Pelodiscus sinensis: one gene and its partners. The main gene of each other region encodes a partner of the protein of the gene in region 3 in a complex. Links are inferred from orthologs where the notes say so. Each region holds a gene or a part of one and is shown on either strand. Other genes may lie near its edges.

What was found.
Region 1: OGT (region 3) and KANSL2 share a complex: the UniProt entries of both Homo sapiens proteins name them as parts of the NSL complex. The link is inferred for Pelodiscus sinensis from reciprocal best matches to the Homo sapiens genes OGT and KANSL2.
Region 2: OGT (region 3) and KANSL3 share a complex: the UniProt entries of both Homo sapiens proteins name them as parts of the NSL complex. The link is inferred for Pelodiscus sinensis from reciprocal best matches to the Homo sapiens genes OGT and KANSL3.

Annotation. Positions count from the first base shown.
Region 1 is NC_134729.1:5,185,702-5,189,446, reverse strand, and holds the start of KANSL2 (KAT8 regulatory NSL complex subunit 2), read right to left. Parts: upstream 2,309-3,745; 5' UTR 2,177-2,308; intron 941-2,176; 5' UTR 939-940; coding exon 688-938; intron 1-687. UniProt on the Homo sapiens protein: Non-catalytic component of the NSL histone acetyltransferase complex, a multiprotein complex that mediates histone H4 acetylation at 'Lys-5'- and 'Lys-8' (H4K5ac and H4K8ac) at transcription start sites and promotes transcription initiation.
Region 2 is NC_134738.1:5,848,096-5,851,840, reverse strand, and holds the start of KANSL3 (KAT8 regulatory NSL complex subunit 3), read right to left. Parts: upstream 2,195-3,745; 5' UTR 2,053-2,194; intron 1,423-2,052; 5' UTR 1,350-1,422; coding exon 1,135-1,349; intron 1-1,134. UniProt on the Homo sapiens protein: Non-catalytic component of the NSL histone acetyltransferase complex, a multiprotein complex that mediates histone H4 acetylation at 'Lys-5'- and 'Lys-8' (H4K5ac and H4K8ac) at transcription start sites and promotes transcription initiation.
Region 3 is NW_027466001.1:365,129-368,873, forward strand, and holds the start of OGT (UDP-N-acetylglucosamine--peptide N-acetylglucosaminyltransferase 110 kDa subunit), read right to left. Parts: upstream 2,199-3,745; 5' UTR 2,090-2,198; coding exon 2,053-2,089; intron 1-2,052. UniProt on the Homo sapiens protein: Catalyzes the transfer of a single N-acetylglucosamine from UDP-GlcNAc to a serine or threonine residue in cytoplasmic and nuclear proteins resulting in their modification with a beta-linked N-acetylglucosamine (O-GlcNAc).

The DNA of each region.
Region 1 (3,745 bases), on a different chromosome or scaffold from region 3:
ATTCACTGGCACTTGGCTTAGAAAAGGAGTCATCTCCACTTCTTTCCTCCAACACAATGATAAATTCAAGCAACTCTGACAGTCATTTGTATAGTTCCTAATATATTAAAGAATATATGATTGACAAACCACACGCACAACCACTGAAATGCAGTTACCTCTGCCATGAAGGTGGCAGCCACATGGCCTAGCAGTAAGATGAGGGGACGAGGTCAAGCCCTCCCTCTTACAAAAAACTGATACTAGGATTTTTAATGACCCACGTGCATAGGGCTGAACATCTTTACCTCACAAGGACTCCACTCAAAATTCCGGGGATTCAAATATTTGTGATCTCAGAGGGCGTACTTATTTCCAAACTGACACTATGACTGTTGAAGATAAAAATCTGCAGTGATGCCAGCACCAGGAAACAAACATTACACAATTCTCCAGCCCCTTTCACCCAAGGATCTCAAAGCACTTTATAAGCATTAATGAACTTTTAATTCCTCTATCAGATAATTACTCCCACTTTGCAGATGGCTAAAGACAGACTGACTTGTTCAAGGTCCCACAATGAGAAAGCAGCCTAACTAGGACTAAAACTAAAACTCCTGGCTCCTTGTATTGTGCCTTAGCCATGGGATTGATACTTCGCATGACAAGATATTCCTGCCAAGCCACTTTAATTCTACCAGCACCTACCCGTCCTTCTTCTCAGTTTTGGGAGCAGCATTTGGACACCTCTTCCCATTCTTAGTTGAGACATAGCTGCACTGTTTGAAGGGAGCATTCCGGTCTTCTAGGATGTGCTTAATGCAGAATTCTTGCCCTTCCAGCCGAGGCTGGGAACACTGACGGTGTGTGAAGGCACAAGGCAAGGGTTCCTGGGGCCTTGGCACAGGGGTAACACGCCCCCGACTTGATGGCAAGACGTGGATCCGGATTCTGTTCATGCCTACACATGCAACAGACACGTACAGATAATTGTTATATCTAGAGCAAACCCCACAAGCTAGTACAACTGATCAGCCTCTGTTATCATCATCAAAGGGACCAAATAATTTGTCAAAGTGTTGGTATAAATCCCTGTGCTATACAGACAGTGTCCTGGCACAAAATAAGACACCTCAGTACTACAAGACAGAATAGGACGAGGGAATCCTTCCTACAGTCTTGGTTTATTCTGCTCTTCATTGGGAGGTGGGAGCTTCATGGCATCTCTGGTCACTTTGCCACTTCCGTCCCCTGCATTCACATTGTGCTGTCTGGCAGTGGAGGTCCCAAAACAGAAGAGGATGGGGAGAGGCCCAACTCAGACTCTTTGCCATTCAGACCCAGGCACATTTTTTGTGCCATGACTGTCTCCTCAGCAAGGAGGAAAAACATGGAAGGGGAGGGTCTGTTCTCCAGATAGCCCCTTCCAGGGTGAGAGTCACCTGCATCCCACCCCTGCCACAGAGAACTAGGACACCCCTTTGCCAAGACTCACCCACCACATTCTGCCGTGGGCTCAGGGGCCACAATCCCACCCCCACCCTAAGGCCCTGACAGGTGTCGGGAAAGGAAGGGGAGGCCCCAGCCAGAGTCACGGGCTCTGTGCTGTGTCCCTGCCCTGAAGAGCTTCCAACCCCACTTGGGAATGTGAATCTGAAACATGCCCTGGGGGAGGCAGACCCCCCCCCCCAGCTGCTTCCCTGGACCGCAGACCTCACAGGATGGTTCCCCCCCAACTTTCCCCAGCCCCCCTCATGGGCTTCCCCCACAGGCTGACCCCCAAGCCGCTCTCCCCTCCCCTCCCCCCCCCACAGGCTGACCCCCAAGCCGCTCTCCCCTCCCCTCCCCCCCACAAGCTGACCCCCAAGCCGCTCTCCCCTCCCCCCACAGGCTGACCCCCAAGCGGCTCTCCCCTCCCCCCCCACAGGCTGACCCCCAAGCCGCTCTCCCCTCCCCCCCCCACAGGCTGACCCCCAAGCCGCTCTCCCCTCCCCCCCCACAGGCTGACCCCCAGCTGCTTCTGACTCCCCCCACCCCCACAGGCGGTCCCGAACACAGGCCGCCCCCAGGCTCTGCCCCCTGCCTCCTACGGGCTGGTCCCCCTAACTCCCCGCAGGTTCCCCCCTCAGCGCCGCCATTTTGCCTGGGGGGGGGGCCGCGCCATCGGCCTAGCAAGGAAACACCGCCGCCATCTTACCTCGCCCGCGCCTAGACCGACTGGCGCCCGCCCCCGCCGCACCATTGGCCAGACTCGCCACCAATCCAGGAACGGGAAGGAGGCCGCCCCGTCGCGGCCATTGGAGGAGAGACCCATCAGTCCGGGAGCCGAGGCCAGCCCCCTGCAGGGACGGGAGGGGGGGCGGGGAGAGCAGGCTTCTGAGGAGTGGGGGAAGGGCTGGAGGGGAGGGGAGGGGAGGGGAGGGGGAGGAGTGGGGGAAGGGCTGGAGGGTGTGGGTAATGCAGGGGGAGAGAGAGGAGGGGGTATGGACCATGGGGTAGGACTACTGTTGGGAGGGCGGGGCAGGAGAGGCTGGGCTGGGGGGGCAGGAAGGGGAGGGGATGGTGGTGGGGAAGTAGGGCAGGAAGCAAAGGGCAGAAGATGGGGCTGGGCTGATCAGGAGGGTATGGCTATGGAGGGGAAGGAAGAGGGAGGCAGAGCTGGGCAGGTCAGGAGTGGGGAGGGGATGGCTATGGAGGTGGAGAGGCTGGGCTGGCGGGGGAAGGGATGGGGCTATAGGTTGGGGTGCATTTTGAAGCAGAGGAATCCTGCGGCATTACCCCTCCCCAAAAGCACCCATAGGCAAACTGGTGATGAAACAGCCCAGCCCCCCCTGCCTGGGGCATGTGGTGTCCCCAAGCTGGGCATCCAGAGCTCTTTCATTCACTAAACACACAGGCTGCGTCTAGAGCGGCATGATTTTCCGGAAATGCTTTTAACGGAAAAGTTTTCCGTTAAAGCATTTTCGGAACAGAGCATCTAGATTGGCACGGACGCTTTTCCGCAAAAGCCCTTTTTGCGGAAAAGCGTCCGTGCCAATCTAGACACGCTTTTCCGCAAAAAAGCCCCTATCGCCATTTTCGCGATCGGGGCTTTTTTGCGGAAAACAAATCTGAGCTGTGTGAGCTTTTTGTGCAAAAGCTTTGAGCAAAAGGGACTTTTGCCTGAACGGGAGCAGAATAGTATTTCCACAAGAAGCACTGATTTCTTACAGTAGGAAGTCAGTGCTTTTGCGGAAATTCAAGCAGCCAGTGTAGACAGCTAGCAAGGTTTTCCGGAAAAGCGGCTGATTTTCCAGAAAAACTGGCCAGTCTAGACACAGCCACAGTAATTCTTGAAGAGGAAGAGAAAATGAGGCTGGACTTGGCCAAGTCAGATCCAGTTCCTGGCTCTGGGTGCATCTGTCTGTCTCTAGGCCTCAATTCTGCTGCTGCCCACAGTGATCTGCCTAGCCTAAACTCAGGGCTGGAAGGACAAACCGGTAGCAGGTTTAACACAAGCCAAAGGAAGCACTTCACATAACACAGTCAGCCTGTGGAACTCCTTGCCTGAGGATGCTGTGAAGGCCAAAAAAAAAAAGAAAAAAAAAGTGGAGGTTAGGTCCATGGCTATTAGCCAAGACGAGCAGGGGTGGTGTCCCTAGTTTCTGTTTGTCAGAAGCTAGGAATGGGTGACCAGTTTATTCCCTCTGGAATGAACACTGTCCACTGTCAGAAGACAGGATGCTGGCTAGATGGACCATCATAGAGCAAGTTTAGCTGCTATGCT
Region 2 (3,745 bases), on a different chromosome or scaffold from region 3:
AATTTAGAAATATCAGTATATCTGACATTTAACTGAAAACTTCAAACCCAGCTCAATTAGTGTGTGTTAATGCTTTAAAAATTGATTCTAGACAAAGCAGGTTGCCCTCTAGGGGAGAACTTCTACAGCTTACATGGTCAGGTACAAATTGTCCTGTTTAGAGAACTGACAGATGAAATTCAATGTTGACAAATGTAAAGTAATGCATATTGGAAAACTCAACTTGGCACATAAATGGAGTCTAAATTAACTGGTATCATTCAAGAGAACTTGGAGTCATTGTGCATACGTCTTTGAAAACATCCCTTCAGTGTGCAGCAGCAGCCAAAAAAGTGAATAGAATGTTGGGAATCATCAAGAAAGGGACAGATAAGACAGAAAATATCATAATGCCTCTATATAAGTTCATGGTAAGCGACATGCAGATGTGGTCACCCCATCTTGAAACAGATATATTGACATTGGACAAGGTACAAAAAAAGCAACAAAAATGACTGGGGTATGGAACAGCTTCCACACGAGCAAAGAGAAGACTGCGTCTCTTCAGTTTGGGAAAAGAGACTACTACCGAGAGATATGGTAGAGATCTATAAAATCATGACTGGTATAGAGAAGAAAGTGTTATTTACTCCTCATAACAGAAGAACTCAGGGTTACCCAATGAAATGAATAGGCAGCAAGTTTAAAATAAAGGAAACATTTCTTCATACAACACAAAACCAGTGGAATTCCTTGCCAGAGGCTGTTGTGAAAGCTAGGACTTTAACAGGGTTCAAAAAAGAGCTGGATAAATTCGTGGAGGACAGGTCCATCGATGGCTATTAGCCAGGACGGGTAGGAATGGTGTCCTCTGCCAGTGTGTGTCAGAAGCTTGATCATTCCCTGCTCTGTTCTTTCCCTCTGGGACACCTGGCATTGGCCACTGTCTGGGCTAGAAGGACCTTTGGCCTGACCCAGTCTTGCCATTCTATGTTCTTATGCTGGGGTTTTAATATGTTACCTACTGTGTTGAAAAGCACCTTGAAAGCAGATACAGAAAGCAAGAAAGCCATCAGAGCATAGGAAAGGAGTATCCAAAATATGTGTGAATCCAAAGCAAATTAACTCAGAAGCACTAGAAAGGGCTTTGCTCACATGCTGCTGTCTTGGTGCCTCCTGGGGGTGACGAAAAGCATCCGTGCAGGCCGGGCACTGCTGGCGTCAGGGTGGGCACTCCATGGCTTGGCATAGCTATGGTCCAAGAAGACGAGGTCTAGCTCTCTCTCATGGACAGAGAGCTGGAAGAGCAACGAGGTTCCCATCCTCCTGGCTGAAGTCTGGAAGTCCCGCTCAGTGCCTCGGTAGGTCATGTCTTCTGGGTCGTCCCAGCATCTAGCGCCAACGTAAATGCCTCTTCCGGCTCCTCATCCTGGCCTCCTTGCACTGGGACAGGACAGGAGAGGGAGGGTGAACATGCTGCAGGAAAAGGGCCCTGCTGTATTGACCCAGCCCCAATAAAGCACAAAACAGGACAGACCCCCACCTCGCCAGACAGCCTGGGGCCCCTTAGCGTGTGTGCAAACTGCTCCAGCCCCAGAATGCCCCCAGTCAGGGCCCTCCTGCTACGAACTGGCACCACCACCACCCTGCCCCCCCAAGCCCCCTGCCCTGCCCCCCGCTCCCATCCCCCCAAATCCCACCCTGCCCCCCCAAACCCCCCGCTCCCCTCCCCCCAAATCCCACCCTGCCCCCCCAAACCCCTTGCCCCCACCCTGCCCCCCGAAACCCCCCGCTCCCATCCCCCCAAATCCCACCCTGCCCCCCCAAGCCCCCTGCCCTGCCCCCCGCTCCCATCCCCCCAAATCCCATCCTGCCCCCCCAAACCCCCCGCTCCCATCCCCCCTGCCCCTCCAAACCCCCCGCTCCCCTCCCCCCAAATCCCGTCCTGCCCCCCAAACCCCCTGCCCCGCCCCCCGCCCAGGCGCGCCGCAAGGGGGGGGAGCAAGGTCCGGGGGGGTCCTGGGGGGGCAGGGCGCTGGGGGAGGGTTCGGGGGGGGGCTCCGCTCCGCTCACCCGGGGCCGGCTCCGCGCCTCAGGCTCTCGCCGTTCCACCAGGCCTCAGCCGCCCGCCCGGCCCCGCGCACTGCGCAGGCGCCGCTCCCGCAAACCCCGGAGCCCGGACCTCGGAGCGGAGCGCGCGGCGCTGACACATGCCGGAGAGCGGATCGGCCCCGCGCGGAGCGGAGCTGGGCCAGGAAGGCTGAATGGGGGAGGCTTGTCGCAGCGCAGCCACGGGGCCTGCTGGCCAGCCCTGGTGCCCCCCCCCCCCGTGTGAGCCGAGCTCTCTCCCAGCCCCGGTGCCCCCGTGTGAGCCGAGCTCTCTCCCAGCCCTGGTGCCCTGATCACACTGGTGCATGAAACTCCGGGTGCACAGAGCCCCAGTCACTTAAACTAGTATCTTGGTTTCAGTGAGTTAAATTCCGGAAACCCTGGTGTTCCTGGCACCACCGCCGATGGCGAAATAGGCAAATACTGGGGTAGGGCCTCCCCGATGCCAGGGTGAGTGCGGGGCAGAATCCCGATCCCTGCTCCCACCGAGGCTGCATCGACCCCCCCCAAGCCGGGGGATGTGGTGCAATGCAGGGGATAGGAGAGACCCACAAATACATGCAACTGCAAACAGCGCTTCCATGAAGGGATCCCATCCAGGAGGGTCTCTTGTATGTAGCACTCTGGAATGGTTACTTGATGAAGGGTTAAGAGTGTATTTTAATTATAAATCGGCTTAGAAACACTGGTTAAGAAAATGTACAACCCTGAAGAGCTCTATCATGTATTCCAGGGGTTCCCAAACTTTTCAGAATCACACCCCCTTTTTGATTTTTGAGAAACCCTCACACCTGCCCCCCCAAAACTTGTTGAGCAAAAAAAAAAGAAAGGAACTGACCAGGCCCAAAAAACAGTCGTGGCCCCTTTGATTCCCAGGACCTGTGTAAAAACAAAGGTACCAATACTCCAGGTGTGTGTTCCAGTGGACACCCAAGCCAGGAAAAATAGAAAATACTGGACATTTCACATGGTATTTTCTGAATTTTTTTTACCAGACTGACCAGGCTCTTTCTTGGGGGAGGGGCGGGGGGAGGTTGACGGGGGGGGCTGGGTTGCCTTGCGCCCCCCTGGAATCTCTTCACACACCCCAAGGGGGGGCATGCCCCCCAGTTTGGGAATCTATGATGTATTCCATAATATATTTCATGTTGTATTCAGCAGGACAGCTGACTAATCCCTTTACTACAAACTTTTTGCAAATAAACCTCTGACAAACCTCAGGGTATATCAAAACACATGTAACTGACATTTTTTATTCACAAGTTTAGTGCTTTCAGTAAGGTACCGTCTGCTTGCCCAGTCTTCACCACCTGGCATGCAATGGAAAACACGCTCCATTTTCTTCAGAAAGACAATGCAGAAGAGTGGGGGGGGGTGATATCATTTGTTTCATTTGGGCTCAGGGATTTGGGTGGAAGAGGATGAACAGGGAGTGGGAGGGAAGAGAAGAAGACAGTGGGGTGAGGGCGTGGCCTGGAGGGGAGAAGGGGTCGAATGTGTGTTGGGCACAGGGAGAAGATGAGGGTAGGAAGGTCACCTCCCCAGCAGAAGCTTCACCCACCACCCTGCGTTCAGTGTTTGCATAGGTCCCCCAGCAGCCTCTTACTCTGCTTAGGGAGTTTCCACAAGCTGCTGAAATAAGCAGTAATTGGATCTT
Region 3 (3,745 bases):
CCAGCAGCCAACTACAGGAAGCCCGAGGCAGAGTTTCTCTGCCCCGGGCTTCCTGGAATCAGCCGCTGATCAGTTTCAGCAGCGGCTGACTTGGGGACACCTGGGGTAGAGCAGGTGGGGTGCTGCCGGGTTGCTCCCCGCAGCACCGAGGTGCGGCGCTGCAGGGACCTACACAGCAGCACCCCAGCTGCTCTGTCCCAGGCGTCCAGATTCAGCTGCTATTGAAACTGATCAGCGGCTGATTCCAGGAAGCCCTGGGCAGAGAAACTCTGCCTCGGGCTTCCTGTAGTGGGCAGCTGGTCAGTTTCAGCAGCGGCTGAATCTGGACACCAGTTCCGACTTAAGTACAAATTCAACTTAAGTACAAACCTACAGTCCCTATCTTGTACGTAACCCAGGGACTGCCTATATTTCCAGGATCTTGATCTAGTGGAGGGCTTCGAAAGACTACCTATAGACCATACTGTTGGGTACCCAGTTTCCATTAGTGCTACCTCTGATTAAGTTTTAGTCTTTCAAATAGCTGGTGTCTGATTTTTGTTCCAAATCTATGCTGTTGAAGTGTTCTTCTATTGCCAGAAATAAAGATAAAAAAAGCTAAAAGGAGGAAATCAATTTCTACGTACTATTACTCACCCTTAAAACAAGATTGAAAAACTGAAATGGCATACACAACTGCGAAACAAAATAACCTGATTTACTTGTTTGCTTTGATACTTCAATACAAATTTCTAACCTCTCCTCTCCCCAATTTGCCAAAAAAGCAAATATCCAAGTTCCAAGCTTAAAACTGCACTTAAGGCTAGAGACTTTGAGGGTGACAGATATAAGGAAGTTGATGAGAGATGTTTTACTTCTGTTCCAAATTTGGGAGATTGTTTCAACTGTCCTCAGCTTGCTAGAAAAATCCAAACTCAGATTTCCTTCATTTTGTCAAAACTTTCAAAAAATGTGCAATTTCTCCCCACCAATTAAATTCAGGCACACTAGTGTCAACTAACAACGGTAAAATTTTGGATCTGGTCCTATATGCAAGTATTGGGAGGATTTGGGGTGGCCAGCTAGATCAGAGCTCTATTCTTTTATATGGATATATATAGATTCCAATTTATTCAACAAATGTGTACTCTTGCAATTAATCCCTTCCCTAGAGTCCACTGCAAGTCAAACTAGTTTTGAAAGTGAATGAATGATAGTAGATTGTAGGAAGAATCTCCCTCATGCACATAAAGAACTCTAACAATTATTTATATTGTTCAGTATAAGTACACTAATTTGAAATTTTTCTGAAGAATCCCAGACTTTAATACCTTGATGAAATACAATAATTTAATTGCCTCCTGTGGCAAGAAGTTATTTTATGAAGTGCTCACCAGCATAGAAAACATAAGATAAAGCTACTTTTCTTGTGAAAGATTTGATCTTAACAGCAGTTTTTAAAAGCATTTTCCCATTAAACTATCAATTTATGATATAAAGTATTAGGTTCACTTTAGTGCATACTCCTGAAAATACAGAAAAGGATCTGAAAAACTGATTTGGGACTAAGGAGATGGGGTCGGAAGATGGTTCCAGACATTTCCTAAGTAGTATTTGTAAGGCACATTTCTTAGCGCTTTTCACACACGTGCGAACTACATCACGGCTCTCCCACGCATCCACACGCGCTCGGTGCCGCTTTACAGGCGATGATGAGAGCGGAAGCTGACAACAGAAAAGGCAAACAACGGGACTGGGCGCGATTCGCAGTCTGGCTGTGGCCGCCACAAAGCGGCGATGGATGCTGGCGACAGCGCGGAAGAAACTCGAGTGGCGCCCATCCGGGCGGGGGCGAGAGACGCGGCGAGCCCCCGGGGCGGCGGCTGAGCCCGGCCAGCGGCCTCGGGCACGTCCCCCCGCACCGCATCGCCGCGCCCGACGCGGCCTCATCGCGGGCGGCTCGCGGCACAAGCCAGCCCACGGCCGCAGCCGGCCGGCACCCCGCGCGGACAGGCCCGGAGCCGCCAGCGCCGGCCGCACCCACAGCGCCGCGGGCGGCCCGCGGGCCGGTACCTGTGCTGTCAGCCACGTTCCCCACAGAGGTCGCCATCGGGGGCGCGCGGGCGGGCGGGCGGGGCTCCCCCGGGCGCGGAGAGATCCAGGCGACGCGACCCAGCGGCCGGACCACAGCGACCCAACCTCCCCCTCTTCGCTAAGGCGGCGGCTCCAGAAATGGCGGCAGCGGCGGAGGAAGCACCCCGTCAGGCGTATGGCTCCTGCCGGATCTATTTCCTTACACAAAATAGTCCGCGTAGGAAAAGGGATCGAATCCTAGGCGTTATCAAACCCAGTTGCGACAGATGAGTTTCTAGAACTAACTCGCGCTCTCGCCTCCTTTCGGTGCACTCTCTCATTAGTGAGCCGTAGAACCCTACTGAGAATTGTCACTCATCTGATCCGTATCCTTCCGCAGGAGACCATTGCGACAAATGAGCGCTCATCGCGCATGCGTCACGCGACGCCACCCTTTCTACCTCGCGCTCGCAGCCACCTCGGAGCCGGGGGCCTCAAGCAGGCCAGGGGAGATGCAGCCCCGCCCCTGGGGCGGAGCTTAGGAGCAGGCGGAGGGAGGGGCGCCGCGGCAGCTGCTACATGCGGGATACGTGTCTGGGAGGCGGCTGGCCACGCCTCTTGCCTCAGCCTCCTCCTGCCTGACCGATGGGGCCGGGGGGCTCCGGCAGTGAGGGGGCTGCAGGCGGATCCTACCACGTCTCTGCGCAGGCGGGGGCGGGGGGGCAGAGTTTCAGGTGTAACCACTGAGTATTACACACGCGCTGCCCTTACAACGGTATTTCAATGCCTGCACTAGCCCCGTGCAAGTTCCTTTCTTTCACTTACTGACACTATGGCAATGGATCATGTGACATGTTGAGGAGTTAGATACACAGGTCAGGAAATTCATCATTTATAATTGAGTGGAGTTGTGGCAACTACCTTTTGTAGATATGTACCAAGGGGATTGTTCCAAGGAAGACAGAATTTGAAAGAACAGAACAGGATCAGCATTCACTGTAGCAGCTAAACCCATCCGATTTTAAATTTCATGGTGAACAATCTATTCTCCCTTTTGTCCCATAAAAGGAAGAGCAAGTCCATACCTGGCAAAGGTGGTTATGAAATCACAAGTGGCACTAAGGCCTGTAATTGCAAAATCTAAGGACAATGAAACAGAACACCATCCTACAATGAAATAGTCAAAATACACAAAATCTTGATATAATTTCAGGATTAATCCAATATGTTATACAGCAGAGGAACAGGAGGCTCTACAGCACTTCCTACATGGTTCTATGATTTCTGTTAATTAGATTAAAGCAAAAATAAAATGAACTCAGATAGTTTAAAGCACAAGTAAAGCCTAGAGAAATTCCTGTTGAACTCCTCCTGCATGACGACGGGTTAGCAATTTCTAGAACAAACTGTAAGGAGCTTCAGAAGATTTCTTCCTGTGAATAAGATGTTCAAGGTCATTAACTCAAGCAACTAGTGTAGGCAGAATTTCAGGGAAAGCATCCATAGAGGCTTTTGGGCCTGACTTTCTGAATACTTGGGGTAACACTTCAGAAAATATGAAGGGCCATGCCCTCTTTAATACTGAGAAAACAGATGCTTTAAATGTTCAAAAATCAAATTTACTCAGTTTTGTATATTTCTTCAATTGTTTATTTCTTCAACAAATGTATGGGCTGGTTAACTCAGTCATATC